Linked DNA regions of Callithrix jacchus. Each later gene encodes a partner of the first gene's protein in a complex. Links are inferred from orthologs where the notes say so. Each region holds a gene or a part of one and is shown in the gene's direction. Other genes may lie near its edges.

Region 1 (6,195 bases):
TCAGGCTGGAATGCAGTGGCTCAGTCAGCTCACAGCACCCTCCACCTCCTGGGTTCAAGCAGTTCTCCTGCCTCAGCCTCCCAAGTATCTGCGATTACAGGCACTCACAACCACTCCCGGCTAATTTTTTTTTTTTTTTTTTGAGATGGAGTTTTGCTCTTGTTGCTGAGGCTGGAGTGCAATGGCTTGATCACAGCTCACTGCAACCTCCGCCTCCTAGGTTCAAGTGATTCTCCTGCCTCAGCCTCCCAATTAGCTGGAACTATAGGCACGTGCCACCCTGCCCAGCTAATTTTTGTATTTTTAGTAGAGACGGGGTTTCACCATGTTAGCCAGGCTGGTCTCAAACTCCTGACCTCAGGTGATCCACTCACCTAGGCCTTCCAAAGTACTGAGATTGCAGGGGCACCACACCTGGCCCCGGGTAATATTTGTATTTTTGTAGAGATAAGGTTTCACCATGTTGGCCAGGCTACTTTCAAACTCCTGACCTCAGGTTATTCCTGCCGTCTTGGCCTCCCAAAGTGCTGGGATTACGGGTGTGAGTCACCATGCCTGGCTGATTTTTTAAAGTGATATTTTCAGTTCTTAGCTGGTCAAATTCAAGGATGCAGAACTGTGGCTTCAGAGAGCCAACTCTGAAGAGCCTTACTGTGGAGTTAAAGGGAGGATAGGATACTCTGTACAGAGGTTTTCAGGATACCTCTGGAGCTGTCCCCACACCATTAATTGTATTTGTGCTTTTGTGTCTTTCTCTGTTTCTCTTTTTAGTCTAGTGGCAATACCAGTGTATGTGAAACATAGTATCAGCTTTAAGGAGAACAGTTCTTGTGGCAGATTTGATATAACAATTGGACCAAAGCAGAATATGGGGAAAACTATTGAAGGAATTACAGTGACAGTTCACATGCCAAAAGTTGTGCTGAACATGAACCTGACACCCACACAAGGCAGCTATACATTTGATCCAGTCACCAAGGTACAGCCACTTCAAATCAAGAGTGAGCAAGTGTTTCTGCAATCTATTTTGTGATTTGGGGGGAGGGGTGGGGGGAAAGGTTTAGCACCTTGTTTAAAACTAAAGTTTGTATCAAAACCTGGAGAGCATACTGTACTGTGCTTCTGCCACTGGCTACAAAGGGAATCCTGCACCAAGTAGATGAACAGAAAAGCGAGTTGTTCTGTCCTTTTTCAGAGTGTGTCTTCACTCATCCATTATTAATCCAGAGCCTCATTCTGCTATCTAATAAGAAAGAAGTAAAAGTTTTTTTTGTTTTGTTTTTTTTTTTTGAGACAAGAGTCTTGCTCTTATTGCCCAGGCTGGAGTGCAATAGCGTGATCTTAGCTCACTGCAACTTCCGCTTCCCACGTTCAAGTGATTCTCCTACCACAAAGCCTCTTGAGTAGCTGGGATTACAGGCAAGCACCACCACGCCCAGCTAATTTTTTTGTATTTTTAGTAGAGACAGGGTTTCACCATGTTGGTCAGCCTGGTCTCGACCTCCTGACTGCCCACCTCGGCCTCCCAAAGTAATGGGATTACATGCGTGAGCCACCTCACCCAGCCAGTAAAAGCTTTTTTAAAAAGAGAAAACATTATGTAGATAAAAGAATTATGGTCTATGAATTATTAAGTTTTCTATGTAAATTGATCATTAAGACCTTTTTCTTTTTAATTTAAAAGCATCACTTCATACTCTTTCTTGGGGCTAGGAAAGATGCTCACCTTACTTACATTTTCCTATAGCAGAGGGTTTTTAGAGAAACTGTAGCAGATTATTTTCTCCCAGCTTCCTGCTTAGGTAGTAAATATGATTGTTTTCAATACCAGAGTCATTGCGGTGCCTGATAAATGAAAAGACACATTTTTTGAATAATGTCATAGAATGTTAAAGATTATTTAATGTGGTTGCAAGGATTCAAAGGACCTCCTCCTGGACACCACACAGGGCTGAGAAGGAAAGTTTCAGTTTCCTGGCCCTTTACCGCAGCTTCAACTATGACAGCTTTGCTTTTTTCTCATTTGCTGTTGAGCCTCCACACTAAAGATTTCATTTGAACAATGGGTTGCACAGCTAAAGTTTTTAAAACACCATCTCAAGTCAATCTAATGATTTTACAGAAAAATTAACAGGCCCAGAGAAAAGTAGTAAAGATGGTATGATGGAGAACATTTGAAATCAGAGGGTCTTAGGTGCAAATCCCAGCCTTTCCTCTGACTAGCTCTGTGGCTTTGAGCAAGTCATTTGATCTCTGACCCTTAATTTCCTCATTTGTAAATAGAAGACAAAAGCTACTTCACAGCCCTCAATGAGACAACATATGAATAGTGCTAAGCACAGTGCTAATACAAAAGAAAATGCTCAACAAATGTGGATTCTCTGCTCTCACTTCCCATTCAAAGTCACAGAGCTAATCAGAAGTAAACTCATTGTAGATCCCAGATACCTTGTTTTCAATAGACTGCACTTCATTTTGTACAGAAGTTTATGGTGTCTTTAAACCTTCTTTTTGAGGGTTTGTCTTTAATAGATAGTTCCATTCGTTCATCATTTTTTTTGTCTTTCCAAGGTACTAACATGGGATGTGGGAAAAATTACTCCACAGAAGCTCCCAAGTCTTAAAGGACTGGTAAATTTACAGTCTGGAGCCCCCAAACCAGAAGAGAATCCGAGCCTCAACATACAGTTTAAGATCCAGCAGCTTGCTATTTCAGGTAAGAGTAAGGCTCACTTGTAGTTAAGGGTAATTGAGTTTTACAAGCTCAATTATTAGGCACTTAAAAGGGTAACAAAATTTCCCACTCTAGAAAGAGCAACAGCCCATTTGCCTTTTGCACTGTGCTTGGGAGACCAGTCTCTCAGGCACCAACCAAATGATTTTGGAGAGCGCCTTGTTTCACACAGCCTCCCCTTACCTCTGCCCTCATTCAAGCACCAAAGAGGGAGTTGTTCATATTTACAGAAAGTAGAGTTATACTTCACAGACATTCCCTGCCTATGTGGTATGCTTAACCAAAACCATCCCATCAAGTGCAATAATTTGTAAATGGTAAAAGAGATGTTTCTTCCAAATGGTAGAAGGGACACTGGTTAATGTCAGATTTACCATGCTCATTGCTAACATTATATTGGTTGAGATCATGATAATTTATTCTTTTTCACTCTTTTTGACACAGGCTTAAAAGTAAACCGTTTGGACATGTATGGGGAGAAATATAAGCCATTTAAAGGAGTCAAATACGTCACGAAAGCTGGAAAGTTCCAAGTGAGAACATAAGAAGAGGCCAAAATTCCTCAAGACCAGTTTGTCTTCCAAGTGTCATTACAATGTATTACTATTAGATACCAAGTGGGTGGGAATACATATTCTAGTTAAAGCATTTGTGACTAGCTACACACCGCTAACAAAGTTGCTTAGTTATCAGTGTAGAATTCTTAAGGAGCTTTAAGCTAAGGAAACCTTTTAGTGACTTAGCTTATTTTGTATCTTTTCACTTAGGAAATTTTTGGAGGTAATTTTTTTTCCATAGGAGGGTACCATCTAAAGGCTGCACATTGTAAGAGTAAAGGCAGAAAGTTATACCTCTCTCCTAAAAGGAGTTAACTGTCTCCTCCAGCAGAAGCTATCTTAATCTGTGATGTGTCAGATGCAGCCAAATACCACACCTTCTGATCTTAGCCATCCCAAACCAGTATCTGTCCCAAGAGAGGAAATTCTCCCCACCCCCAGAAGTTTACAGAAAACTGCCTCTTCAAGTGTTTGCCTTATTCAGCTTTTCACTTGTGCCATTAAGCAAGCACTGTAGCAAAAGCCACTTCCACATGGCCCTGGCAGGGAACACTGCTGCTCCATGCTCCATTCTCACTGTACTTGGTATTGTATTTTTTATAAATAAGATTTTTATGTAAAGCTTAGAATTTGATTTACAGGGACCTTGCTGCAGTAAATACCATCTCAGTTTTGTGCCACTAGTTCAGCTGCTAGCACAGTAAAAAAATCATTTGTATCAAAGGGGCAAATGCTTTATTAAGGTAGTAAAAGGGAACATTATTTATGCTTTTAGGAAGTTACTGCAAGCACAAGCATTTGTGCTTTTAAGCAAATTAAAGTAGTAAAAGAAAAACTTAAGTGAAACTTTGCCATCTTCATGTTTTATAAACCTTACCCAACACCAGTTAAATCATAGTTAACCTAAATGTCTCATCCCCCGGTTCAGCAAAAGGAGGAAAATCTGCCTGCCTCACTGTCATCAGTCTTTTTAAATCTTTTATTTTTGTTGTTAAGGGGTTGAATTTGCTTATATTCCTTGTCTTTAGGGGAAATTAATATTGTGTGCTTCCCAAAGCTATAGTCAGATTTCTTCCAGAAACTATTGTCATAATTGTCACTGGAGTGCTTAAATGTACCTACTATACTGACAAAATGCATGGAAGTGCGTTATAATGAGGCAGAAACAAAATCCTTGGTAACATTGATGATACTGTACGGATCACCATGGTTTTGGAAAGTCAGTCAACAGTTGTATAATTGCACTCAACTTCATTGTGTCATTTCATTTAAGTTCTTCATCTTGGTAGTCCTTATCCAGTTATTTTGCCTCATTAGACATCAAGAAATGGAGAAAGCCTGAAAGTTAAGCTATAAGTGCTTGTTCTTCATGTTTCCTTATTATTTATGCTATTTTCTCTTCTCTTTGTGGCTCCATTCTTTTCTTCTTTCAGTCTTCTCAGCTTATAACTGTATTTCCCTTACGCTAGGATAGCCCTTACACTCATCCTATCTATGTTGTTGAGGGCTACTGGTTGGTGCTGGTACAAGGAGCCCACTGAGCAGTTTTCTTACCTTTGCCTGCCCATGATACCCACCCTGCCTTTCATGGAATAAGAAAGGCCACGTTTTGCAGCTTCTAAATTTCTAGAGAAACTAATCTCAGATTGGCAATTAAAGTCAAAATGTTGCCAAATATTTATTCCTTTTTCCTAAGTTCAATTGCTTTTTGTTTTTAATGTTGACTCCTCAGAGTTTGTACCTCAAAAGAACAATGAGAACCTTTGCTTTTCCTTCTGCTGAATCCCTAATCTCAACAGTCTATACTTGGACTGTCCAGTTCTCCTCCTGTGCTATCTTCTCTTCTGTCCAACTAGAATGTATGCCAGGAGCTCCTTCCCTCTAGCAATTTCTACTAAAATGTCCAAGTAGAATGTTTCCTTTTGCAATCAAATTGTTGTATTTATTAATTTGCTAGAATCCAGTAAATCATTTTGCTAGCTCTGGTCATATTATCAATAAAAAAGATGAAAGCAACAAGTTGATTTTTTTTTTTTTTTTTTTTTGAGGAAGGGAGGGATGAAGGAAGAGAGGAAGGGGGGAGGGAGGGAGGGAGGGAAGGGAAGGAAGGAATTCAAGCAATGAGAGAGACATTGCCGACCTGGATCTAGAGGTTTACAAGTTGATTTCTTTTTTTTTTTTTGAGTGAAGGAAAGAAGAAAAAATGAGTAAAGGAGAGGAAGAAAGAGGAAGAGAAAGGGAGAGTGAGTGGAAATATTGCTTTATTCTTAAAAAAAAAAATGGGTATTAATAATGGCCAATCAATGTTTCATTTAAACCTATGAGTACCTGTGATGTGGTATTGACTAGAATGTTTATTTTGTGTATTTGAAGTGGAGAGCTCTATAAATATTTATTAAGTTTACTTGTTCCGGATCTGAGTTCGAGTCCTTGATATCCTTATTAATTTTCTGCCTCATTGAGTCTAAGTCTCTATGTATCGGGGTGTTAGGATCGTTAGCTCTTGTTGTTGCATTGATCCTTTTACCACTATATCTTTGTTGCTTTAAAATCTATTTTATCCGATACGAGAATTGCAACTCCTGCTTTTTATTTATTTATTTGTTTGTTTGTTTATTTTTGCTCTCCATTTGGTTGGTAAATCTTTCTCCATCCCTTTGAGTCTTTGTGTATCCTTGCCTGTGAAACAGGTCTGGATGTAACATGCCGTTGGGTTTTGGCTGTGTCTTTTGATTGGGGGATTTAGTCTATTTAAATTTAGGGTTACTGCCCTTTGATTTTAACTGGCTGTTTTATCCATTCGTTGATGTAAATTCTTCTTTATGTTGGTGCTCTTTACTTTTTGGTATATTTTTAGAAGGGCTGATACTGGTTGTTTCTTTCTGTGTGTAATGCTTCTTTCAG
Region 2 (8,115 bases), on another chromosome or scaffold:
CACGCCATTGCATTCCAGCCTGGGCAATAAGAGTGAAACTCTCTTAAAAAAAAAAAAAAAAAAAAGAAAGAAAACTTCCTGTTTGAAAAATAAATTTTATTGTGTCTCTACTTAGACTAAATGAGATGCAAGTTTAAATGGCAATAAGGATTTTATTATTATTAGCAATTAGATTAGCAAGCATTAGAAAGATTTATAATATACTTTGGTGGTAAGGTTGTCTTGAAACAGAATATTGGTGAAGAAGCTGGTATTCTCTTTTCAGTTTAGAAATCTGGCAATATCTATAAAAAGTGTGCATATAATCTGTTCTAGCTATTGGACTTTTGGAAGCTTAGCTAATGGAACATTGGTATAAAGACATGTACTGACAGAGTTGGTGTAAAGACCTGCACTGAGAGTTGTTATAATGGTCCAGAACTGGAAACAGTCTACATGTGTATCAATAGGCTATTGATTAAATAAATACAGGTGCACCTGTGGAATGTAATACTATGTAGATGTTTAAAACAATGAGAAGCAGTAAGATGCCGAATGGTATTATAGTTTTAATTGGTATTTGTAGAAATATGCACATTCAATATTTATTTTTCTATGCTTAGAGAAAAAAAGCCTGAAAATATATACACCACACTTAACACCTGCTATCATGAGGGTTAGATGAACAGAAACTGAAACAGAAAATTTGATAAAGGTTTTGTGAAGTGCTGGGGGTAAAATAGTTTTTGAAAAAGACATAGCTTATGCAAGACACTACATATGCTGGCAGGAAACAGAAAAATCTGGTTTGGCTTGGTAACAGGTGTCAAAGAGTAATCTTTTAGTTCTGTTAATGTTTCTTCTGGTTGGAAGTGTGTGGACTTTTTTTCCCCTGTCAGAAAACTTCATGGCTATCTAAGAGATTTTTCAATTCTGGAGATATGGAAACGTTAGACTATAGCCTATGGAGTTATTATTTTTTATCTTTCTCTAAGAATATACAGTCTTAGAATTTTAAGGCAGTAAGGGACCCAAGTCCCTTCTTGTCAATGCTCTCATTTTCTTTTTAGTCATAAAAAGAAAGTTTTATCTATTTCCTCCAGGAATATATGCTTTGTATCTTATATGTAATATTCCAGAGAAAAAGAAAGTTACCCCTAACTCTTTTTTGAGAAATAGACATTGTTAATATCCACACCATTCAAGGACAATGTAAAAACAAACCAACCCCCCGAAAACAAACCCCCCAATCAAAAACTCCAATATTGTAGGTCAATCTCGTACCTGAGTCTGCATGAAAAAATAAAAATATTGTAAAATAGAATCAAACAGTTAATTAAAAATGACAGACTCGAGGATAAAGAACTATTCAAGTCCATCGTAAAAACTACGCAACATGAAAGCGGATAAATAGGTTCATGTACAGTTCCCAGGGAATAAAATGCAAATGGAGTAATAATGACATAAAATATTCTCAATTTCATTATGATCATGAAAATGAAAATTAATTACAACATAAATAATATTCGTTTTATATTGATGACAATAAAACATTTTTAGAAAGCTAATCGTTTGTGAGAATGTGAAGGAAGAAGATTACACATCGCCAAAAGTATGCTGGAAAAATATTTAGGATATCTGGTAAAAGTACACATACTCCAAAACCAAGAAATTCTATAATCAGGTACGTATCAGAGATTTTCCAGGATATGTGTATATCAATGTCTTCATTTTACAAATAAAGTAACCAAAGCCTAGCTCCTTTTATTAATATATATAAAATTACTTAGTTTTTATATATGTGCCTGATATATATGAAGCATTATATAATATATAGTTATGATGATGATCATCAATAGTCTGTTATAGGTGAAATTCTTTTAATTAATATCATTAATATAGACAAACAACACATTTTAGGTGCTCATCGTTGCATCTCCGGAGGTATTCTAACCGCTGAATTAAAAACCTGCCAAGATTTGACAAGACGAAGTTTGGAGGACGTTCCTTCCTCTCCCACCCAGAGCCACGCTCGTGCGTGCTTTCACAGTGACAGTGTGTCCTTTTACACTTGGAGAGCACATTCTGATTCTTGAAAACGCCCACCGCCTTCCCAGAAGCAGCCGGCCTTTAAGGATAGCGTTCTACCTGGTAGAATCCCTTGACAGTTTCAGTACCTGGCTTCCATGACTTTGGGTGTTAACGCCTGCCTGGACGGGAGGCAGTGGGGAGAAGAGAGGGAAGGCGCTGAAACTCACAGGAGAAGGCGGGCTGGGGGTAGGCACTCCTGGAAGGAGGTTTTTCCGGCTGCCAGCACCCGGAGAGAGCTACTCCGGGGCTGCCTGGGCTTGCTAGTGCATCTTAGTGAGTGACAGTAAGGGGACAGGACACTGGAAGAAGTTGTAGAAGACAGCTGTGCCTGGCGCGCGAGTTGGTCAATTTTATTTTTGGTAGCTAGACGGCAGTAGGGCGCACCACTTCAGCTCCAAACGGAAACTGGTGGCCTCAAAATTTTTTGTTTTTTTCATTTTTTGGTAGCTAGATGCTAGCAGGACGCACCACTTCAGCGTCTGTGGAATTCCCATACGGGAACTGGAGGCCCCGAGATGTTTTCTTTTCTTTTTCTTCCTTTTTTTTTTTTTTTTTTGAGACAGGGTCTCGCGCGGTCGCCCAGGCTGGAGTGCAGTGGCGCGATCTCAACTCATCGCTACCTCCGCCTCTTGGATTCGAGCGATCCTCCCACCTCAGCCTCAGTAGCTGGGACCACAGGCGCGCGCCACCACGCCGGCTAATTTTTATATTTTTTGCAGAGACAGGGGCTCGCTATGTTGCCCAGGCTGGTCTCGAGCTCCTGGCCTCAAGTGATCCACCCGCCTCGGCCTCCCAAAGTGCTGGAATTACTGTTGTGAGCCACCGCGCCCAGTCTGCCTCCAAGATTTTCGTTGCAAAGATGGAATGGTCGTTTCTCTGCGGATCCTCCAAACTATCGTTGGGGGAGTCCTCCTTAAAGTCTAGGAGAAAAGTTGCCTGCGGCGGATGGGAAAGTAAGGCAACGCCGGATGGAGAAAAGTAGCCGAAACAAGCAAGAAAAGGAAAAGTGATAGCGAAGGGTTTAGGAAAGTTGATCTGGCGTGGTAAATGGCGTTTCCGGAGAAAACAGAAAACTATTGCTTTACAGAGGTCTAGCAAAGAGCTGTCCGGGCTCTGGAAACTCCTTAAGGGATCAAAATGGATGCAAAGGGTTACCTTCACCTACAACACCACTTAAGGGTCGGGAGCCGGGCCGTTCGCCCCCGCTACCTCCCTTCCCGCGGGCAGGCTCGCGGCCGCTCAGCTACCTCTAAAACCCGGAGCAGGAAAGTTCGCGCAGGCTTGGACGGCCCGGGTAGGAGCCGGACGGCCCGCATACTGCGCATGCGCAGGGGGTGCACGGCCAGGTCGGCTCAGGGAGCCGTGACGAGTCCGGAAGCGCCTGCGCGCGTCTCTCAGTAGGGGAACTAGTTTTGTTCCTTGCCGTCTGGACTGGAACCTTTTGGAGACGACCCCCGGCTGGACCAACCCCGCACCCGCCAGCACCACGGCAATGTCCAGCAACAGTTTATCTTACAATGAGCAGTCCGGAGGAGGAGAGGCGGCGGAGCTGGGTCAGGAGGCGACCTCAGCCATTTCCCCCTCGGGCGCCTTCGGCCTTTTTAGCAGCGATTTGAAGAAGTAAGGAGAAAGGTTTGGGGTGTGGGGATGGGAGGGAGGAGCTGGGGACTCCGAGGAGTCGGCACCGGGGTGGGGCTCCCTGGAGAGGAGCGGGGTCGCCCAGAGACCTGAGCGGAGCGGGGCGGCAACTTGTCCCGCGGGTGGGTGGATGGGGTTGGTTGGCGGTGGTGGGAGTTGTAGGAGTTTGGGGCGAGTGTTTGTAGGGGTCTCTAGTAGTTTTCTTAGAGAAAAGAAAACCACCTGGTGAGCTTAGACCCCCCCCCCCCCCGAAGACGCTGATTGAATTGGACTTGACTGGGCTCAGGAGTTTGAATTTTGAGCATAGTTTTCTAGTTTCATTGATAAATTCCCTGATTAGGGTGAAACGAGGATTTTGGTGAAAGTGAGTGCGAGTGTTGCTTGTGGGAGTTATTTTGTGGCCCCGGAGTATAGGAGCAGAGAGGTGGATTTGGGCTGTTGGAATGGACAAACTGGTTTATACCAGTATTAATGTTCTTGGGCAGTATCCTTTGCACTACAGTCAAAAACACCAATCCAAAATAAGCATATGAATAGAAAATATTTAGAAGGAGTATTAACTTGGAACAAATCCTAAACTTTTACAAATTAATAACGTGAATTTTAAATACGAATGTTAAACAAGGTACACTTAGTTTTGTAAAAAGTACCACCGAGAAATGGAAGGAAATCCCAAGTTGATTTTTTTTGGGGTGGGAGGGTGGGATGGTGGTATTGGTGGTGGTAGCGGTTACATTTACCAGAATCCTGGTAACTTTGTTTATATTTTATTGCGTTTCTCTTATTTTAAATCTTTCATTACTAAGCAATATGGGTCACATAATAGTCTGTTGCTAAATTAAGGTAAAATAACTGTGCTGGTAGCTTTGCAGGTATATTAGAGGGTATAATTAAAATTTAAATTAAACGTTACTATTCGGTGGTCTAGAAAGTACTACTAGTTGAAATTAGGATTACATTTTGGTTGTATTGATGATCGAAATAATATATATATATAGCATGTAAGATACAATCTTTTGAGTGTTACTGTCTTCTAGGTTAGAAAAGTTTAAAAGTAAGGTAACTGGTTTTGTTTTGCATTATGTGCACTGGATAGATAATCCATTATTCTAGCATGGAGCTTGTTGCCTCTACAGTTGTATTAGCAAAATGTTTAGACCGAATTAACCTGTAAATCGGCATTAATCTATTTTGCAAATCAATTTACTTCTGTGATTTGTAAATCCCAGCACTTTGGGAGGTGAGGCGGGAGGATCACTTGAAGCCAAGGAGTTGGAGACCAGCATGGCCAACATGGTAAAACCCGGTCTCTACTAACAATCCAAAAATTAGCTGGGTGTGGTGGCGGGCTCATGTAGTTTCAGCTACTCAGGAGGCTGAGTCAGGAGAATCCTTGAACCTGGAAGGTGGAAGCTGCAGTGAGCCGACATGGTGCCTCAGCCCTCTGACCTGGGCGACAGAGACTCCATCTCAAAAAAAAAAAAAGGAAAAATATTTTTGTCTGATTTGGACCTAATTTGGGGGGAAAAAAACAAAAAACAAACAATGTATGGCCTTGACTCTGTGACCAGTGGTCTTGAGGGTGACCTAACAGTTTGGGTTTAATATAAAAGTAGTTAATTGATTAGGGGTGATATGTAATGATATGTAATATATGCAAATTACCATGATTGAATTGTGTTCCTCAAAAGATATTTATTGAGTGTTTGTGCATTTGTGCACACCGATTTATATTTATTGTCTGATTCAGTCTTCGTAACAGCCCTGCAGGTTATTACCAGGTACTTCTCTGCTCCCATTTTACACATGAAGTTAGCATGGTCGTTAACTTGTGAAAGCTAGAACATTACACTGCCTGAATTTGAACCCAGGGGCTCCAGTATTAGAGCCCATTCTCTCAAGTGTTTAGATGTGCTACTTACTACTTGATGAAAGTTATGGTATTTTTATTAGTGAGTGCATGCAACTCACAAAAAGTTTGAAACTTTAGACAGTAGCTTTAAGTAGTACCACCAGAGAAGCTTCCAGGGATTAGAAACATTTGGCTATTGAACTGAAATCTAATGGAATTGTACAGAAACAAGGAGACCTCTGTTCTGAAAGTGGTCATTCAATCTCTCTTGAGTCCACATTTTCTCATTTATAAAACTGTAATATTATTTGCCTTTAAGAAAAAATCGAATGACAAAATTTATGTGAAAAACTTAAAGCTTACCCTGTTCCTCAGCTCTTATTTTTCATGGTTTACTCTGATCAAGTTTACAAAAAAGTTGCAACAGTAGCACAGAGAGCTACCCTTTTGCAGGTTTATCATTAAAAAAATTGCTACACTGCTTGCTTTGTAGCACTCTGTCCTCACTCTCTCCATGCATATACAGGCACATACACATTCATGTTATTATGTCTTTGGAACTATTGGACAACTTCGGTTGTACACATCGTGTTCTTTTACACTTTAAAATCTTACTGTGTAATTTTTAAGAACAAAGATATTCTCTTATACAACTGCAGTGTTGATGCATTCAGGAAGTTTAATGCCCATACAATCGTATGTAATCATTTGTTCTAATAAAGTTTTTCTTTTTCCCCAGCATTTTTTCCCTCAAGTACAGGATCTAGTCCAAGATAATATATTTAATTTAGTTGCCATGTCTCTTTAATCTTCTTTAATCTAGAATAGTTCCTTAGCCTTTTTTGTCTTTCATGACCTTGACATATCTAAGGAAGTCAATTATTTTATTCTATGTGAATCAGTTTGGGCTTGCTGGTGTTTCCTCTATTTAGATTCAGGCTCTATGTATCCTTGGCCGGAATACTACCATAGGTGATACCTGCTTTTCAAACTATTACATTTGAAGGCATAGGGTGTCCATCTTCATGATGTTAATTTTCCTAGTCACAGGGTTGTCTAGTTTCTCTATTGTATTATTGCTATTTTTTTTTTCAAATTATGTGTGGGGAGACACTGAGACCATGCAGATGTCTTGCTCCTTATTAAATTGACCACCTGTGCATTTAACAACCGTTGATCAATCTCCTGAACCTGTCTTTTGCACCATGGCTGCAAAATGGTAATGTTTCATCTCTCTAAGTCCCTCTACTGCCCTGCTCTTTGGCTTTTTGACCTACAGCTGTGTTCTCTGATCCTTCACTAACCATCTCAGTGATGCCAAAGTACTTCCTAGTCATGGTATTATTGGTGATTTTTGTTTTCTGAATTTAATCTTATTTATCAGTATTATTTATCCTTTCGCCCCCCTTCAAACAGAACCAGAATTAGATGGCTTTATGAAAGGAGATCCTATACCTAATTTGTTGGCTAAAAAGGCCTGTGTATTAGATTATTGGCTTCAAGATTTTTAATTTCTCTATTTAAAATGTAAAGAACTTATTTTTGTACTCTTAGGTTTTAGTTTTTGAGATATGTTTTGCTCTGTTGCCTTGGCTGGAGTGCAGTGGTATGATCATGGCTCACTGCAGCCTCAGCCTCCTTGGCTCAAGTGAGCTTTCCCACCACAGCCTTCTGAGTAGCTGGGACTACAGGTGCATGCCACCATGCCCAGCTTATTTTTGTATTTCTTGTAGAGATGGGGTCTTGCCATGTTGCCCAGGCTAGTCTCGAACTCCTGGGCTTGAGCAATCTGAATGCCTCATCCTCCCAAAGTGCTGGGATTATAGGCATGTACCACTGTGCCTGGCCACTTCTTTCTTTTTAGAATGTTCTCAGCTTTTATTGTTTCTGTTTTTTTCTAAGTTATTTTTCTTTTTAAAAAAACTTCTTTTAACCAATTTGGGTTTGTGTGTATATAATTAAAAATAATTTTAATAATTCTATTACTGAATTAAAAATTTAATTAGGAATTAATTTCCAGAAACAGACAAGACTAATTAATTTTTCTTAATTACAATAGTAAAGCTACTAAATTTGTAAATCTCTCTTCTTTTGAGAGCATCATGGTGTATTAGAAAGAACACTGAAGCTGGAATGGTGGCCCACACCTGTAATCTTAGCATTTTAGAAGGCCCAGGCAGGAGGACTGCTTGAAAACCCCAGAGTTCCAGACCAGCCTGGGCAACGTAGTGAGACCTTTTCTCTATAAATAAAAATGGGGGGGAAAACCCAAAAATCATTGGACCCAGAGTCAGAAGACCTGGATTTAAGCTGGTGTTTTCCACTTGTAGTAGTGCTTCTTTGTTCAAGTTGCTGACGTATTCAAACCTCAGTTTCCTTATTTCTATGCAGAATGTAATAATACTTGCCTCTTTTTTTTTTTTTGAGATGGAGTTTCGCTCTCGTTACCCAGACTGGAGTGCAATGGCACTATCTCGGCTCACCGCAACCTCCGCCTCCTGGGTCCAGGCAATTCTCCTGCCTCAGCCTCCTGAGTAGCTGGGATACGCCACCAT
Region 3 (7,505 bases), on another chromosome or scaffold:
GCTTTGTGTGCCTGTACCCTCCAGGCCATGCTTTTGGGCAGCCCTGGCTCCGGGCCCTGCGACCCCAGCTTGTGTGAGCACTGCTCGTCAGGAGCCAGCTGGCCCCAGCAGGTCAGCGGCTTCTGTGGGTCCTGGTCCTGGCCTGGCCTGGAGGCTTGGGTGTCCCTGCCTCCTAGAGGGTCAGCGATTCCTTTTCCCAATACGAGTTCCTTCCAGTTGCGGGCCTTGGTTTCCCTGCTAGTAAAAGTTCAGTGGTGAAACCTTCCAAACATCCAGCCTCCTCTGGCTGGGCGGCTGCTGGTGGGGGACATCCACGGAGGGGTATCGGGCCTGCTTCTCTCAGACTCATGCCACGCCCTGTCCTGCAGCGCCGAGAGGCCCGGAAGCAGGAGCAGGCCAACAACCCCTTCTACATCAAGAGCTCGCCGTCACCACAGAAGGTGAGGCAGGTCCCCGGGCTCTGTCCCTCAGCACCCTCTATCCTCACCGTCCATGCCCCGCAGCATCCCGCTGAGTTTCAGGCTCCCCAGGCAGATCCTGGGCGTGGAGCTGGGGATGTGCAGTAACCATGAGGAGCCTTGGAGGAGCAGTGCCTCCCTGTGGGTCCTGTTTATTGGAGGCCTCCAGTCCGGGGTCCCCACTTCGTGTTTTCAGCACCCAGCTGCCGTCCGGCCCTGATGCACACCATTGTGGGCGAGCTGCTGCCTCACTTTGGGCTTGAGGCCACATTATTTTCCTCATTTGAGGAGAGAAAGTGGACGAGGATTTGCGGCCAGCGCAGTGGCGCACTCCTGTACTTGCAGCTACTCGGGAGGCTGAGACAGGAAAATCACTTGAACCCGGAAGGCAGAGGTTGCAGTCAGCCGAGATGATGCCACTGTGCTCCAGCCTGGGTGACAGAGCAAGACTCTGTCAAAAAAAAAAGGACAAGGATTTGCTTCTCCCTGTGCAGTAGGCCTACAGGGTCACTCGAGTGACCAGCTTTCCAGCCCTCACTGTCTAGGAGTTGGGTCCTCGGGATGCGTTTGCTCACGGCGCTCCTTGAAGCCTGGGGCTGCGGCAGGACCCCTGGTTCCTGAGGCTGCCGGGCTGGGAGGCTCGTGGTCACGCCTGGACATTGCTTTTGCAGCGGTACCAAGACACGCCGGGTGTGGAGCACATTCCCGTGGTGCAGATCGACCTCTCCGTCCCTTTGAAGGTTCCAGGCAAGTGTCTCCAGTGTTACAGGGGCGCACTTGTCACATGGGCCGTGGGGTGTTCCTGCCGCGCTCTCTGTGAGCTCCCGGGGCGCAGTGTTGAGGGCCCGCCTGCCTGCAGGACTGCCCATGTCGGACCAGTACGTTAAGCTGGAGGAGGAGCGGCGGCATCAGCAGAAGCTGGAGAAGGACAAGAGGAGGAAGAAGCGCAAGGAGAAGGAGAAGAAGGGCAAGCGCCGCCATGGCTCACTGCCCACGGAGAGTGACGAGGACATCGCCCCCGCCCAGCAGGTGGACATCGTCACCGAGGAGATGCCGGAGGTCAGCTCGCTGGACGGCCCAGCCCGGGGGCGCCCACCTTTCAGCACACATGTCACTGGGGCTGTGCACAGCGGCCTCTCCCCGAGGTCTTCCCCGCCCCAGAGAGCATAGAACAGAGGCCTCTCTGTCCTCCAGTGCATGCCCCCACTCACCCGGCCCAGCACTCACCTGCCCTGGGCCGGCAGCTTCAGCGGCAGATGCTGGTCTGCTGCTTCCTTGGGCCCGGCTGCCCTTGGTGTCTGGATGCTGATTGGAGCCTCTGGGGTAGAGCCACGTTGCCGCCCACCTGCCTGTGTGGTCCTCGTGGGCGTGGCCCTGGTTGTCTCAGGCAGTCCCACTGGGTCCGAGGTAGATGGGGTCTGCCAGGCCGCAGGGCGGGTGTCACTGATGGAGTTCCCCTCTTCCTGTCAGAACGCTCTGCCCAGTGACGAAGATGACAAAGACCCCAATGACCCCTACAGGGCTTTGGACATTGACCTTGATAAGTGAGTCCATGTGGGTTCAAGATGAGGGTGGAGGCCACAGCTGGTTGCTTCCCTTCCTCCTGTCCTGCCTGCTGAGCAGAGCCTCGCTTCACAGAGTGGGCAGGCTGGGGAGGGCTGGGGCGGGCTGGGGTGGGGCTCTGGAGGGTGGGCGGGCTGGGGGGGGTGGGGTGTGAGGGGTGGGGCTCTGGAGGGTGGGGGGGTGGGGTGTGGGTGGGTGGGGCTCTGGAGGGTGGGCGGGATGGGGGGGTGGGGTGTGAGTGGGGTGGGGCTCTGGAGGTGGGGGGCAGGCTGGCATGGGGTGCTCGCGGGCCTTCCCCAGGCAACGTCCTCACTGCACTGCTCTTGGCTGGCCTTCCCAACCAAGACCCTAAGTATGGGTTCTGAGGTGTCTAGGTCGTGACGGGGCAGGGTGTGGCCACCACAGACCCTCCCATGGCAGCCTCAGCAGGCGGTGTTGGGCAGATCCTTTTCAGGCCATGGCTGGGGGCCAGGGGCGGGAGGAGCAGGTCTTGCACTGCGTGGCCTGGGATGTCCTGGGCATGCGCTTGGACACATCACGTACTCAGCAGACCTGGGGCATGGCCAGTGATGCTGATGTGTGCCCCGGCCATCCCCTCTCCAGGCCCTTAGCCGACAGCGAGAAGCTGCCTATCCAGAAACACAGAAATGCGGAGACATCAAAATCCCCTGAGAAGGAGGACGTTCCCGTGGCAGAAAAGAAGAGCAAGAAACCCAAGAAGAAAGAGAAGAAGCACAAAGAGAAAGGGAGAGACAAGGAAAAGAAGAAGGAGAAGGAGAAGAAGGTAAGGCCCGTGCCCAGGGCAGCATCCTCTTCCATTCCCCTCCCTTGCCCTGAACTCACAGACTGGCTGGGGACAGTGGGCCGCTCCGGGGAAATGGCCGTGAGTCTGAGGCAGCGAGCGCCAGCCTCCTCGCTCTGCGGCCTGGTGGAGTGCAGAAGTGGCGTCAGAGGGGAGCTGCCTGTGTGCTTGTGTCGGGGGAGACCCGAGGACCCGATGGTCCGGTGGGTGAGCCCTGTCCTCACCCCTGTTCAGAGCTCAGCGTGGTTGAGACGTTGCCCTCACATGCGGCTCCAGAACCAATTCTGCAGCGTCTGTGTGCAGAGTTTCACATAGAGAAAGAAATGGATTTTTCTTTTTTTTAAGATGGAGTTTCGCTCTTGTAGCCCAGGCTGGAGTGCAGTGGCACCATCCCGGCTCCCTGCAGCCTCTGCCTCCCGGGGTCAAGTGGTTCTCCTGCCTCAGCCTGCTGAGTAGCTGGTATTACAGGCGTGCACCACCACGCTTGGCTAATTTTGTATTTTTAGTAGAGACAGGGTTTCTCCATGTTGGTCAGGCTGGTCTCGAACTCCTGACCTCAGGTGATCTGCCCACCCCAGCCTCCCAAAGTGCTAGGATTATAGGCGTGAGTCACCACCCCCGGCTAAAAATGGATTTTTCAAAGGAGCACATGTTCTCAGGGCCTGGGGCCCTTTCCACACCCACATCAGAGGGCCTCGCTGGATACAAGCCTTCTGACCACTGGGATGGCGCATACCCATGCACAGATCTGTCCCTGGCTGCCTTCTGGCAGCGACAGCCAGAGCCAGTAGGGCCGGCTGAGGATGTTGCCATCAGCTCCTGGATTCCCAGGCTTCGCAAGGCCCAGCTAGTCCAGGGCCCTGGGGGCCAGCAAGGGCAGATGGGGCCTGCCATTCCCGGCCCCCCTTCCCAGGACCATGCGCTGCATTTGCGGACAGCCTGTCTTGTGGTTTCAGGCTGCGGACCTGGACTTCTGGCTATCTACCACCCCACCGCCTGCCCCCGCCCCTGCCCCTGTTCCCTCCACGGTAAGAGATGGGCAGCTGGCTGGTGCTGGCTTTGGGTGTCTCCAGAGGTCATGCGGGCACTCAGGGCGGAGCCCGGGTCTCTTGAAGCCCTGTGCCTTCAAAGTCAGCACCGCCCACCTGTGGAACCTGAGCTGGGTGCAGCCGGGGTCACACTTCCGGGTTCTGATGGGCCAAGCAGGGGCCAGGGGAAGGGAAGGTCAGCCAGGGCCTCTGCACCTGCGGGCTCCCTGTCACTTGGAGGGCATCTTGGCCTCTCAGGTGGGGTGGGGGCACGGGACTGGCCTGGGGTGAGGGTGAGCCGAGGGTGTGGTGTGGGAGGCTGCCTGGGGTGCAGTGGAGGGTCCCCTCCTTGCCCATCGTGAGCCCCGAGTCCCGACTCCCTGCAGGAGGAGGCCGGTGTGAACCCCGTCACTGCCTCGAAAGACGAGTGTGAAGACACCAAGACGGAGGCGCAGGGTGAAGAGGACGGTGCTGAGGGGCAAGAGCAGGACAAGGTGAGGCTGTTGCCCCCGGGGGCTGTGGAGGGCCGGATGAGCCCAGCACCCCCAGGTGGGGCTGCACACGGCTTCCGCCTCCCAGATCCCAGGGCAGCCCTACCCTGGCCTTTGCGTGGGTGATCTCGTGGGCCTTTTGTGCGTGTGGTTCTGCGCTCTGAGGCTGAGTCCGCAACTTTTGTTCTCTTTTTTTAATAACCACTTCTTTTTGGTGCTTTTGTGTGTGTGTGAGGGGGAGATAGTCTCACTGTGTTGCCCAGGCTGGAGTGCAGTGGCACAATCTCCGCTCACCGCAACCTCTGCCTCACAAGTTCAAGCGATTCTCCTGCCTCAGCCTCCCAAGTAGCTGGGATTACAGGCACACGCCACCACACCCAGCTCATTTTTTGTATTTTAGTAGAGACGGGGTTTCACTGTGTTGCCCAGGCTGGTCTCGAACTCCTGACCTCAGGCAATCTGCCCGCCTCAGCCTCCCAAAGTGCTGGGATTACAGGCATGAGCCACTGCACCCAGCCTTTTAATAACCTTATTCACACGTGATTCACAGGTCTAATAGAGTTTACTCATTTAAAGTATGTGTATGGTGGTTTTCCATAGATTGAGTTGTGAACTAGCATCAACTCTTTCTAGTTCCAGAACTTTCCATCACCCCTAAAGAAGCCCCATTCCTTCCAGCCGTCACTCCTCATTCCTTTCCCAGCCCTGGCACTCACACTTCCCCGTCCTGTCTTTGCGGACGGATGTTTCATAGAAATGGGATTATTCGCTGTGTGGCCTTTGGGGTCTGATGTCTCACTGAGCATGATGTCCTCAGAGTGCGTCCACGATGGGGCTTGAGTCAGAGCCTGGTTCCTGTTCGTGGCTGGGTCGTGTTTCAGTGTGTGGCGAGGCCACGCTGTGCTGACCCCATTCCTCCGCCACTTGGGCTGCTTTGAACGATCGTGCAGTGTGTGTGGATGTGTGTGTTCCCTCTCGGGTGTGTACGTGGGCATGGGTTGCTGCATCAGGTCTGGTGTCCTCGCCAGTTTGCCCCGCGTGGCTCCCTGGTCAGCCGGGACTGTTCCCTGAGCTGCTTTGGCCAGCCTGCTGCCAATTAGGGACAGCATGGCCTCTGTTAAGCTGGGTCTGGCCTGGGCTGGGCCCCGGTAGGCCTGAGGCGGGGCTGGTCCTGCCACCCCACCCAGGCATGTGGGACCCTCAGCCTGAGCAGCCCGGCCTGTGGCTCCCACCTCGTGTTGTGAGCAGGACGCACGAGAGCGGCTTGGGAACTGACACGGCCCCTCCTCCTGCTCCAGAAATCCCCCAAGCCTAGGAAGAAGAAGCACAAGAAGGAGAAGGAGGAGCGCACCAAGGGCAAGAAGTCCAAGAAGCAGCCTCCGGGCAGTGAGGAGGCGGCAGGGGAGGCGGCGCGGGAGCCGGTGCAGAACGGCGCGCCAGAGGAGGAGCCGCTCCCGGTGAGGGGTACTTCAGCGCCCCCGCCCCGCGCCAGGGCTCCTGGCGGGCTGCGGGCTGCTCCGCACTCCTGCTGCCTCCGTGCGGGAGAGAAGGGAGCAGATTCCAGAAGAAGCTGAGCTGGTTGGGCCTGGCTTGGTCCCGCGGCCCCACATTCAGCACCCCCGTGGTGGGCTGTGTGGTCCTGGGAGCCAGGGATCCCTCACAGGCCCCTCTGAAGCCCCCTCGCCCCAAGCGTTCTTGGAGTCGTGGCGTTTGACCTGGGGTATTGGGCAGCACTGGAGTTTTTGTTGCGACAGAGCCCAGGGCCTGGCCTTTGAGGCTGATGTGACTTTTTTCTCTCCAGCCTGAGTCCAGCTACTCCCTCCTTGCTGAAAATTCCTACATTAAAATGGTGAGTGGCGGCTGCTCCGTTCCCTGGGGCAGGGCTGGCCAGCGCATGCTCTTTGGCGTGGGACTGTGCAGAACCTGGCAAGGTCCCCAAGTCCTGCATGCTGGTGTGCCCAGGGAGCGAGATCCCTGCGGGGGCATTGCTTGGCAGCCCCTCTGGCTCAGGTGAGGTGGAAGACATGCCCTGAGGCCTGGGCTGGTTTGAGGGTCCCTGCCATGTGTCACAGAGCAGCCACGGGAGGCACTCCGGCTGAGGCTGGGGGGCCCTGGTCTGTGCTTCCATGGCCGTTGAGAGGCAGGAGCCTGTGCCTGTTCCCTGCGGGTGGCCCACCTGCCCTGCTGACACTGGCTGTGCCCGCAGACCTGTGACGTTCGGGGCAGCCTGCAGGAGGACAGCCAGGTCACTGTGGCCATCGTGCTGGAGAACCGGAGCAACAGTGTCCTCAAGGGCATGGAGCTCAGCGTGCTGGACTCACTCAATGCCAGGATGGCCCGGCCGCAGGGCTCCTCCGTCCACGATGGCGTCCCTGTGCCTTTCCAGCTGCCCCCAGGTGAGCCTCGCCCTGCTCACGGCCTCCCCTGGGGATTGTGGGAGCTTGGTGGGATCTGCTGTTCTTGTTGCTACCCCCCTACGTCCCCTAGGTCCCCAGGCTGCACCCTAGTGCCTCCTGAATGTCGGGGTCTTGCCACAGCTCTGAGAAGTGCGGTGGCCTTGGATCGACATGGCCAGAGCCCTGAGGGCTGGACTGTGGGCTGGGGCCTTCCTGGGTTCTGTGGCTCCAGTGGCTGCATCTTCCCTTTGTGAAATGGGCATGGGACCAGGTTCAGGCCAAACTGGGGACACCAGTACTCTTGTTTCTGCTTCTGTCCCATGGTGCTCCCTTGGGGTCTGAGCCCAGCTTCCTGATCAGCCACAGAGGACTCAGGACTGAGGACACACACAGGGGCCCCACCCATGCTGAGCCCCGGCTGCATCTCAGGTCCCCTCCCTCTCACCCCTGCCAGGCGTCTCCAACGAAGCCCAGTTCGTGTTCACTATCCAGAGCGTCGTCACGGCGCAGAAGCTCAAGGGGACCCTGTCCTTCATCGCCAAGGTGTGCAGGCTCCACTCGGCGTCGGGGAGGCTCTGCAGGCTGGGGCTTCTGCCCCATCCCAGTGGGTGTCCCAGTGTCCCGATGGGAAGTGGGCCACCTGCCTGAGCTGGGCCCGACTCCCCACTCAGCTGCGCTGCTTTTGCTCCACGGCAGAATGACGAGGGTGCGACCCAGGAGAAGCTGGACTTCAGGTTGCACTTCAGCTGCAGCTCGTACTTGGTCAC
Region 4 (7,503 bases), on another chromosome or scaffold:
ATGTGGGATGAGATTAAAAGCCTTTCTTAGAAGGTTGATAGAATTAAAAGGGAAATGTATGCAGAGTGTGTATCTCAGCATCTGGCACAGAGCAAGTGGCAAACACCTGGTAAATCCTGTTACTGTTGAGCTTCTCTCCCGAGCCGCAGTCCAGGAAGGTCATAGGTCATAGGTCATTGTCATTTAGCTGAAACTTGAGTGCCTGTACTTTGCCTTAGGGTGGCTCCTGGCTGGTAGGAGTATGTATGGAGACATGACAGCCTTCTCTCATCTTGGGACCTTTGGTTTGCAGCATTCCTCAGCATTCTCGCTTGAGGCCGAGGAGTGACTGCTGGGCTCCGGGCTGGGGTCGGGGGCTGGGGCGGGGGGGGGGGTATCGTCCTGTCATACCCCTCCCAGAAGAGCCAGGACCCCTGCAGGTCGGCCCCTCACTGTCCTGGGTTGGTCCTGCCCACCTCCGGTTTCCATAGGGCCCATGAGCTAAGAATGGGTTTTATGTTTATAAACTTAACATACCAAAAATCTGAAAGAGTATTTCTTGACACATGAAAATGGTGTAAAATTCAGTGTCTATAAATGAAGTTCTCTCGGAGCCCAGCCACAGTCATTTATTTACACAGTATCTGTGGCTGCGTGTGCATGAGCAGTGACAGGGCTGTGTTGTCTTCACAGAGAGCCACAGCCCACAAAGTCTAAAATACTTACTTTCTGTGACCAGAAGGCCTCATTCATCGTGCCTTTCAGTTCATCACGTCGTCTTGTCTAAGAAAGCTTGGGGACCTCACAGATTGTACTTTTAGAGGAAATAAAGCACAAGCCATCTTTGAATGGACTTTGTACCTTCTCTCCCGAGGATCTTAAAAGTAGGGCTGATGTGGCCGGGGGTGGGGTGGCTTATGCCTGTAATCCCAGCTTAAATGGAGGGAAGCCATGGTGAAACATCTCACCCTTTTGTGTAGGGAAAGCTCTCTAACTGCCTCTTTCCAGCAGCCATCATCAACACAGACGGCCTCTGTGACCACATGTGGTCAAGCTTTTCCCCACACACCAAGCAGTGGACACCAGCTGGGTGTCCTCTGATTCAGTTCTAACCTATCTGCCCGGAGAAAGGTCAGGTCCCACAGGAAGAGGGCTCCCTCCCCAAGAGTGCCTTCCCCCCCACCCCCAGTCCAGTCGGAAATCTGGGCCTCCGGAACTTCTGACCCACCAGCTTCAAGTTGGGGCTCTCGTGACCCCCTCTTGGGTTTGATTAATTTGCTGCAGTGGCTCACAGAACTCAGGGAAACATTTATGGGTTTATTATAAATGATAGTGGAAAGGACACAGAGGAAGAGACACGGGGGCCGAGGTATGGGGAGGGACACGGACACTGCGCTTCCATGCCTTCTCGTTCCAGGGCGCCACCCTCCAGGAACCTCCCTGGGGTAAGCGGATTTTGATCTTCCCAAACCCAGTCCTCTTGGGCTTCTGTGGGAGCTTCATGACCTCAGCGTTTCTTCTCCTAGTGGGTAGGGCAGGACCCTATCTGCGGGTCTTAAGGCCTATAGTCAGGCCTCACCAGGTACTCAAACCTGTAATCCCAGCAGTTTGGGAGACTGAGGTGGGTGGATCACTTGAGCCTAGGAGTTGGAGTCCAACCTGGCCAACATGGCAAAACCCCGTCTCTACTAAGAATGCAAAAATTAGCCAGGCGTGGTGGTGCACACCTGGAGCCCCAGCTACTCTGGAGGCTGAGACAGGAGTATCACTTGAACCTGGGAGGTGGAGGTTGCAGTGAGCAGAGATGGCGCCCCTGCACTCCAGCCTGGGCGGCAGAGGGAGACTCCATCTCAAAAAAAAAAACCTATCAGAAAGGCGGGGAAGATGAGAGTCCTGCCTTAGGACAGGTGAAAGGGGCGGGAGGCAGTCAGGCCTGCCCCGAGGCCTGACACACCCAGCATTATAACTGAAGACTGTAACAGAGGGTGTGGGTGAAATCATTCTAATCTCACATACACCCTTGAGGCCCTGAATTGCAGCATGCAGGTGGGTGTGAGTGTCTGCTGCTGCCCGGAGATGAGGAGAGGCCTTCAGAGCACGTGGGCTTTGGAAAGACAGCAGAGTCTGGGAGGACCCTGCTGCCCGCTGCTCTCCGGAGGGGGTGGGGGAGGTGTGCCCCTGGCCTCCTGATTCTCAGGGCTCCCCAGAGGCTCCTGCACCACCATCTCTCCCCGGGCAGTGTGTTCTGTGATGATCTCTCCCTCCGTGTCCTCTGCTGGATGGACCTTGGTGTTTTGTATGTGATCAAGGAAGGAGAATGTGGGTTTGCATTTGTAATTCGGGTAGAAGGAAGAGGACATTTTCCACACTTATTCCTCAAGTTCTGACTTTCTAAACTGGTGATTAGGCATGGTGTTTCCAGCCTGACTTCTTGTGACCACTTTACAGAAACAAGGTGATAAACGAATGTGGATCACACGTTAAACATTGTCAGAGCAGCGTAGGTGATGCTTTTTTCCTGCGTTGTGTGGCCATCTAGACTGGCCGGTTTTGCACATTAACTTTTGCCTGTTTAGCTGTGTTCTGTAACATTTTATAAAGGAGCAGTGAAGCTGCTTTTTTTGGTTTTGAGGCAGGGTCTTTGCTCTGTCTCCCAGGCTGTGGCACAGTCAAGCTCACTGCAGCCTCAGCTTCCCAGGCTCAAGTGACCGTCCCAAGTTAGCCTTCTGAATCGCTGGGACTACAGGCACATGCCACCATGCCTGGCTAATTTTTTATTTTTATTTTTATTTGAAACAGTTTCACTCTGTTGCCTAGGCTGGAATGCAATGATGTGATCTTGGCTCACAACAACCTCCACCCCACCCACACTGGGTTCAAGTGATTCTCCTGCCTCAGCCTCCTGAGTAGCTGGGATTACAGGCACCTGCCACTGTGCCTGGCTAATTTTTGTATTTTTAGTAGAGATGGGGTTTCACCATCTTGGCCAGGCTGGTCTTGAACTTCTGACCTCATGATCCACCTGCCTCGACCTCTCAAAGTGCTGAGATTACAGGCGTGAGCCCCTGCGCCTGGCCCTGGCTAATTTAAAAACAAAAAAATTTGTGGAGATGGGGTCTGGTCTTGAACTCCTGGGCTCAGGCAGTCCTTCCTCCTTGGCCTCTGAAAGCGCTGGGATTGTAGGCATGAGCCACTGTGCCTGGCAGCTGAGGCTGTTTTGGAAAGGAGTGAGCGAGGTCTGTGAGCACATCCTGGGTTGGGACGGCTCCCGGTGGCCGTGGTGCCTGTCACTTCAGAGCTTGGTGTGGTTACCGTAGCTCCTCTCTGCCATCTTCTGCTCTGTCCAGAAAGGGCTTTTACACCGGGGCGTGGGGGACTCCTGAGTTGTGTGTCTCAGAACCACTTGGGGTACAGTTGTAGGCGAAGGGTCCTGGCTCTCCCCTCCCCCAGGCAGAGGGGATGTGAAGCTGGGAATTGGTCGCTGAAAGTTGAGATGGAAGCAGAACCAACAAGTGGCCGATGGAGTCACAGGCGGCAGATCCCCCACAGGGTTGCCCACCTGGATATTTGGGGCTCACTTGTGCCGACTCAGCCTAGTGGAGATGTGGAAAAGATCGAATTGGGTAGAAATTATATAAATCCTGTTTTTGAGTGCTCACAGAAACAAGGTGGTAAAAGAAAGAACCTAATTTCAAGGTTGATGGTGTGTGGCTGTGAGTATCAGCCACAGAAGAGTCGGCAGAGCTCTACCTCGAGTTCAGTCTGCCTTGACTTTCAATATAAATGTGTGTTGTGAACATCTTGGTGGGTTAGATGCTGAGGGACAGTCACATTCAGACTGCTCAGTGTCCTCGGGGTGCCACGTGGCCCCTCTCCACAGACTCCCTGGATCACTCACTGTCCTCGGGGTGCCACATGGATCCTCTCCAGACTCCCTGGACCACTCACTGTCCTCGGGGTGCCACATGGATCCTCTCCACAGACTCCCTGGACCACTCACTGTCCTCGGGGTGCCACATGGATCCTCTCCACAGACTCCCTGGACCACTCACTGTCCTTGGGGTGCCACGTGGATCCTCTCCACAGACTCCCTGAACCACTCAGTGTCCTCGGGGTACTACGTGGCCCCTCTCCACAGACTCCCTGGACGTCTCAGTCTCCTTGGGGTGCCACATGGCCCCTCTCCACAGACTCCCTGGACTGCGCCCTCCTGTCCAGGATGCACCCACACTTGCTGCTTTCTCCCTAGTGAGGATGCTTGTCCATCCCCACCACTGCCCCCTCCCCAGATGAAAACCCAAGGCAGCTGGCTAGCCTTGCCCACCTTTGCGTCTCTGCTCACACATGGGGTCCTCACAGAGCCACCTGACCCCTGTCCTGCCAGAGGGCCTCCTTGGCTGCTCTGCGTCCCACCTGGCCGGGCTGTGTGCGCCGTGGACCCTCTTTTCTTCTGGGTGGTGTTTCCAGCACAATACTGGCACCCATTTGATAGTTCAGGGAGCAGTGACTGAGTTATCACCATTTCCCATGGGGTGGGGAGGGGTGAGGTGGCGTGGCCAGCCACACAGCACAGCCTCCTATGTTCACTCCTTTGTGACAGCGTTCAAGGCCCTCTCACCCTCACTTTAGGAAGAGGGTGGCACAGTGGACACTGTCCAGCCATGGGGCATTCTGGGTAGTGGGAGCTGGAGGCTGAGGGTGCCCTGCAAGCCTGAGCCATCTGCTGTCTGCAGGACTCAGCTCTGTCCTGTACGTCTAGAAAGGCATTAGTGAGAGCCACCTTGTCAGTTTGGTTTCTGAGTTTGGATCTTACTGTAACTGCTGATGATGAGAAACCCAGACCTGGATTCCCTCCACTGTTCCTGCAGAGACGCGCTGTGAACAAGACGGGCCTTCCCCGACCACAGCGCCGCCCGCACCACCCAGCCCCTCGCCCTCACCCATGCCGGAGAGCCCCTCTGTGAACAAGTACAGTGTGAACGGCACCAACGGGACCTGCCTACTGGCCAGCATGGGGCTGCAGCTGAACCTCACCTACGAGAGGAAGGACAACACGGTAGGGCCGGGGCCTCACCTGAGAGAAGGGGACAGCGCTGTAGGGTGGGCCTCACCTGAGGGGGAGCAGCAGGCCTCTGTAGGGCCGGGACCTCACCTGAGAGAGGGGGACAGCACTGTAGGGTGGGCCTCACCTGAGGGGGAACAGCAGGCCTTTGTAGGGCCGGGACCTCACCTGAGAGAGGGGGACAGAGCTGTAGGGTGGGCCTCACCTGAGGGGGAACAGCAGGCCTCTGTAGGGCCGGGACCTCTGCTCCCTGTGTACTGAGAGTGCACATCTCTGCAGGTCATGCTTTAAGTGGGGATGGGAGCTCAGCTTGCAGGATGGGACCCTCTAGGACAAGAGCTGGGGTGTCTGTGTCAGTGAGTCCATCTTGTAGGCACACAGTTGTCCTGCTGGTTCTATTGTCCAAGGCTGCTGTCCCAGCAGGCATGCGGAGCAGTGTGGCCCATGGAGCCTGAAAACATTCACGTGGCCCCCGATAGAAGATAAGGTTTCTTTACATGTTTATCATTGAGACATTTAAGTGTTACATATTTATACTTTTCTTTTGAAATAGTTTTTCTCCCCTAATAGTGACAGGCTATGGGTTTGTGGGGGCGAGTTTGCAGGGTTGACGGCTGCAGGGGGAGGTGGTGCTGGTTGGTGCCATCCACGCAGGGACGCCACACTCTGAAAGCAGCTGTCACAGTGGCCAGGAGTCATCTTGGGATCCTGAAATCTGTACCAGTGTGGACTTACAGTGCTTCCTTCTCGTTTTGGTTAAAACAAATGTGGCCTTGAATTCATGGTTTCAGGACTGTTTTTCTTTTTTTGAGCATCTGGAGGACCTGGCTGGGGTGATGACTTGCTTGGTTGTCTTACAGACGGTGACAAAACTTCTCAACATCAACCCCAACAAGACCTTGGCCACCGGGAGCTGTGGCACCCACCTGGTGACCCTGGAGCTGCGCGATGAGGGTGGCACGGTCCTGCTGTTCCAGTTTGGGATGGTGAGGCCGGGTGTCCCTTGTGCCCTGGGTCTGCTCATGGGTAGCAGAATTAGGAACAAGGCAGCCTCACTTTTTCCTGCCTTTTTAAAATCCTGGTTACTCAGTAATCGATTTGGGCGGGGCTGCCGTGCCCACAGTGGGGTGGCTGCAGGGGTAAGGCTGCTGCTGTGAGGCCACGAGGCCTTCTGGCCTCAGACGCTGCTGCCCTACAGCCACGGGGTGGCCTTTCTGCCTGGAGCACTCCTGTGCAGTGAGCAACACAGTTAGGAAGAATATAAATGTCACTTGTCAATCTTTTTAAGTCGCTGTGCAGATGAATTAGCAGTTCAGTTTCCTACCATTTGAACTTTCCAAATCATGCTTTCCTGTGCCGTAAGAGCTCCTGCAGGCCCCGCTTCTCAGAGACTCTAACTCTATGAAGAGGTCTGGAAGGACCAGCCTGGCCGCACAGGGAGGCTCTGTCTCCACAAGTGATAAAACGATCGCTTGAGCCCAGGAGTTGAGGTTGCAGTGAGCCATGATCACACCGTTGTACTCCAGCCTGGGCGACAGAGCAAGACTCTCAGAAAAGGGCGTGGAAGGAACTAACTGGAATTCACTGGCCTTTTATAGACAGGATATTCTGTAGTTTTGTTCAAAAACTAGAAACATGGGAAGTCAAATTTTTTACCAAATGACCTTTCAAGTTTAATGATAGATGTTCGAGTCTACTCAGTGGTTAAAGATCATCTTTCTTTTTAAGAATGCAAGTTCTAGCCGTTTTTTCCTACAAGGAATCCAGTTGAATACAACTCTTCCTGACGCCAGAGGTGAGAACCCACAATCTCTGGAGCCCCTGCTCCCCACCCAGAGTGCCCCGGAGTTACTTGACTTGTGTGTGTGTTGCAGACCCCACATTTAAAGCCTCCAACAACTCCCTGAGAGCGCTGCAGGCCACCGTTGGCAACTCCTACAGGTGCAACGCCGAGGAGCGCGTCCGCGTCACCAAGGCGCTTTCCGTCAACATATTCAAAGTCTGGGTCCAGGCTTTCAAGGTGGACGGTGACCAGTTTGGCTCTGGTGAGTGTCGCCGAGGGCAGCTGTCCCGGGGTGTAGAGGACGCACTTCAGACTCCACCTGTGGATATTTAATCGCTTCTGTGTGGCCTGGGGCAACACCCTTGTTCCTATGCAAGCCGTTTCTTCTTCCCGGTCTGAGATTCTAGAGGAAACTCCCCCTGCTTTAGAGAGGCCCAGCGTATCTCTGAGCTGGGAACCCCTGGTACCATTTGAGAGTAAGGGTGTCATTTTAAGAACAGTGGTGGCGTTTCTCCCATGAAAGTTGAATGCAAAACCATCATCCGATGTGCTCTGTGTTCCAGGAAGCCCGGAGGCTCTGGACACAGCACAGCTGCCCAGCCACAGCCCCTGATTCCAGCCGGGGGAAAACATGTGTGGTTTCCCAGCTGTGCAGAGCGCGCCAGTCTCTGCAGCGGCT

The links.
Region 2: the proteins of AP3M1 (region 1) and AP3B1 are in contact, whole or in part, in a cryo-EM structure (PDB 9C5A), measured with the Homo sapiens proteins. The link is inferred for Callithrix jacchus from reciprocal best matches to the Homo sapiens genes AP3M1 and AP3B1. Residues at the interface, in NP_001307192.1 of Homo sapiens: Met1, Phe15, Leu16, Glu17, Trp20, Lys21, Ser22, Val23, Gln26, Val42, Glu43, Asn44, Val45, Pro46, Pro47, Val48, Ser50, Tyr55, Ser58, Ile59, Tyr60, Gln71, Thr72, Glu73, Val74, Pro75, Pro76, Leu77, Phe78, Ile80; in NP_003655.3 of Homo sapiens: Leu60, Lys64, Val67, Gly68, Ile70, Ala71, Lys72, Gly73, Ile92, Glu93, Lys96, Leu97, Val100, Arg104, Glu107, Asn128, Gln129, Leu130, Arg137, Arg143, Ser163, Pro164, Tyr165, Lys168, Asn169, His172, Gln175, Lys176, Leu202, Ser206.
Region 3: the proteins of AP3M1 (region 1) and AP3D1 are in contact, whole or in part, in a cryo-EM structure (PDB 9C5C), measured with the Homo sapiens proteins. The link is inferred for Callithrix jacchus from reciprocal best matches to the Homo sapiens genes AP3M1 and AP3D1. Residues at the interface, in NP_001307192.1 of Homo sapiens: Ser25, Ser27, Asp30, Tyr31, Glu34, Pro52, Asp104; in NP_003929.4 of Homo sapiens: Lys29, Glu388, Gly389, Thr390, Thr391, Arg393, Glu429, Arg432.
Region 4: the proteins of AP3M1 (region 1) and LAMP1 are in contact, whole or in part, in a cryo-EM structure (PDB 9C5A), measured with the Homo sapiens proteins. The link is inferred for Callithrix jacchus from reciprocal best matches to the Homo sapiens genes AP3M1 and LAMP1. Residues at the interface, in NP_001307192.1 of Homo sapiens: Glu178, Tyr180, Phe181, Asp182, Gln381, Val389, Asn390, Arg391, Leu392, Phe402, Lys403, Gly404, Val405, Lys406; in NP_005552.3 of Homo sapiens: Ser410, His411, Gly413, Tyr414, Gln415, Thr416, Ile417.

Annotation. Positions count from the first base shown.
Region 1 is NC_133513.1:56,082,248-56,088,442, forward strand, and holds the end of AP3M1 (AP-3 complex subunit mu-1), read left to right. Parts: intron 1-771; coding exon 772-979; exon of another isoform or gene 980-1,001; intron 1,002-2,571; coding exon 2,572-2,716; intron 2,717-3,178; coding exon 3,179-3,279; 3' UTR 3,280-5,307; downstream 5,308-6,195. UniProt on the Homo sapiens protein: Part of the AP-3 complex, an adaptor-related complex which is not clathrin-associated. The complex is associated with the Golgi region as well as more peripheral structures.
Region 2 is NC_133503.1:132,754,601-132,762,715, forward strand, and holds the start of AP3B1 (AP-3 complex subunit beta-1), read left to right. Parts: upstream 1-3,443; 5' UTR 3,444-3,562; coding exon 3,563-3,690; intron 3,691-8,115. UniProt on the Homo sapiens protein: Subunit of non-clathrin- and clathrin-associated adaptor protein complex 3 (AP-3) that plays a role in protein sorting in the late-Golgi/trans-Golgi network (TGN) and/or endosomes.
Region 3 is NC_133523.1:1,990,885-1,998,389, reverse strand, and holds part of AP3D1 (AP-3 complex subunit delta-1), read left to right. Parts: intron 1-368; coding exon 369-440; intron 441-1,129; coding exon 1,130-1,205; intron 1,206-1,317; coding exon 1,318-1,517; intron 1,518-1,928; coding exon 1,929-2,002; intron 2,003-2,624; coding exon 2,625-2,805; intron 2,806-3,779; coding exon 3,780-3,851; intron 3,852-4,237; coding exon 4,238-4,345; intron 4,346-5,640; coding exon 5,641-5,799; intron 5,800-6,143; coding exon 6,144-6,191; intron 6,192-6,548; coding exon 6,549-6,738; intron 6,739-7,192; coding exon 7,193-7,281; intron 7,282-7,434; coding exon 7,435-7,505. UniProt on the Homo sapiens protein: Part of the AP-3 complex, an adaptor-related complex which is not clathrin-associated. The complex is associated with the Golgi region as well as more peripheral structures.
Region 4 is NC_133502.1:28,766,404-28,773,906, forward strand, and holds part of LAMP1 (lysosome-associated membrane glycoprotein 1), read left to right. Parts: intron 1-4,847; coding exon 4,848-5,035; intron 5,036-5,901; coding exon 5,902-6,027; intron 6,028-6,769; coding exon 6,770-6,836; intron 6,837-6,915; coding exon 6,916-7,086; intron 7,087-7,503. UniProt on the Homo sapiens protein: Lysosomal membrane glycoprotein which plays an important role in lysosome biogenesis, lysosomal pH regulation, autophagy and cholesterol homeostasis.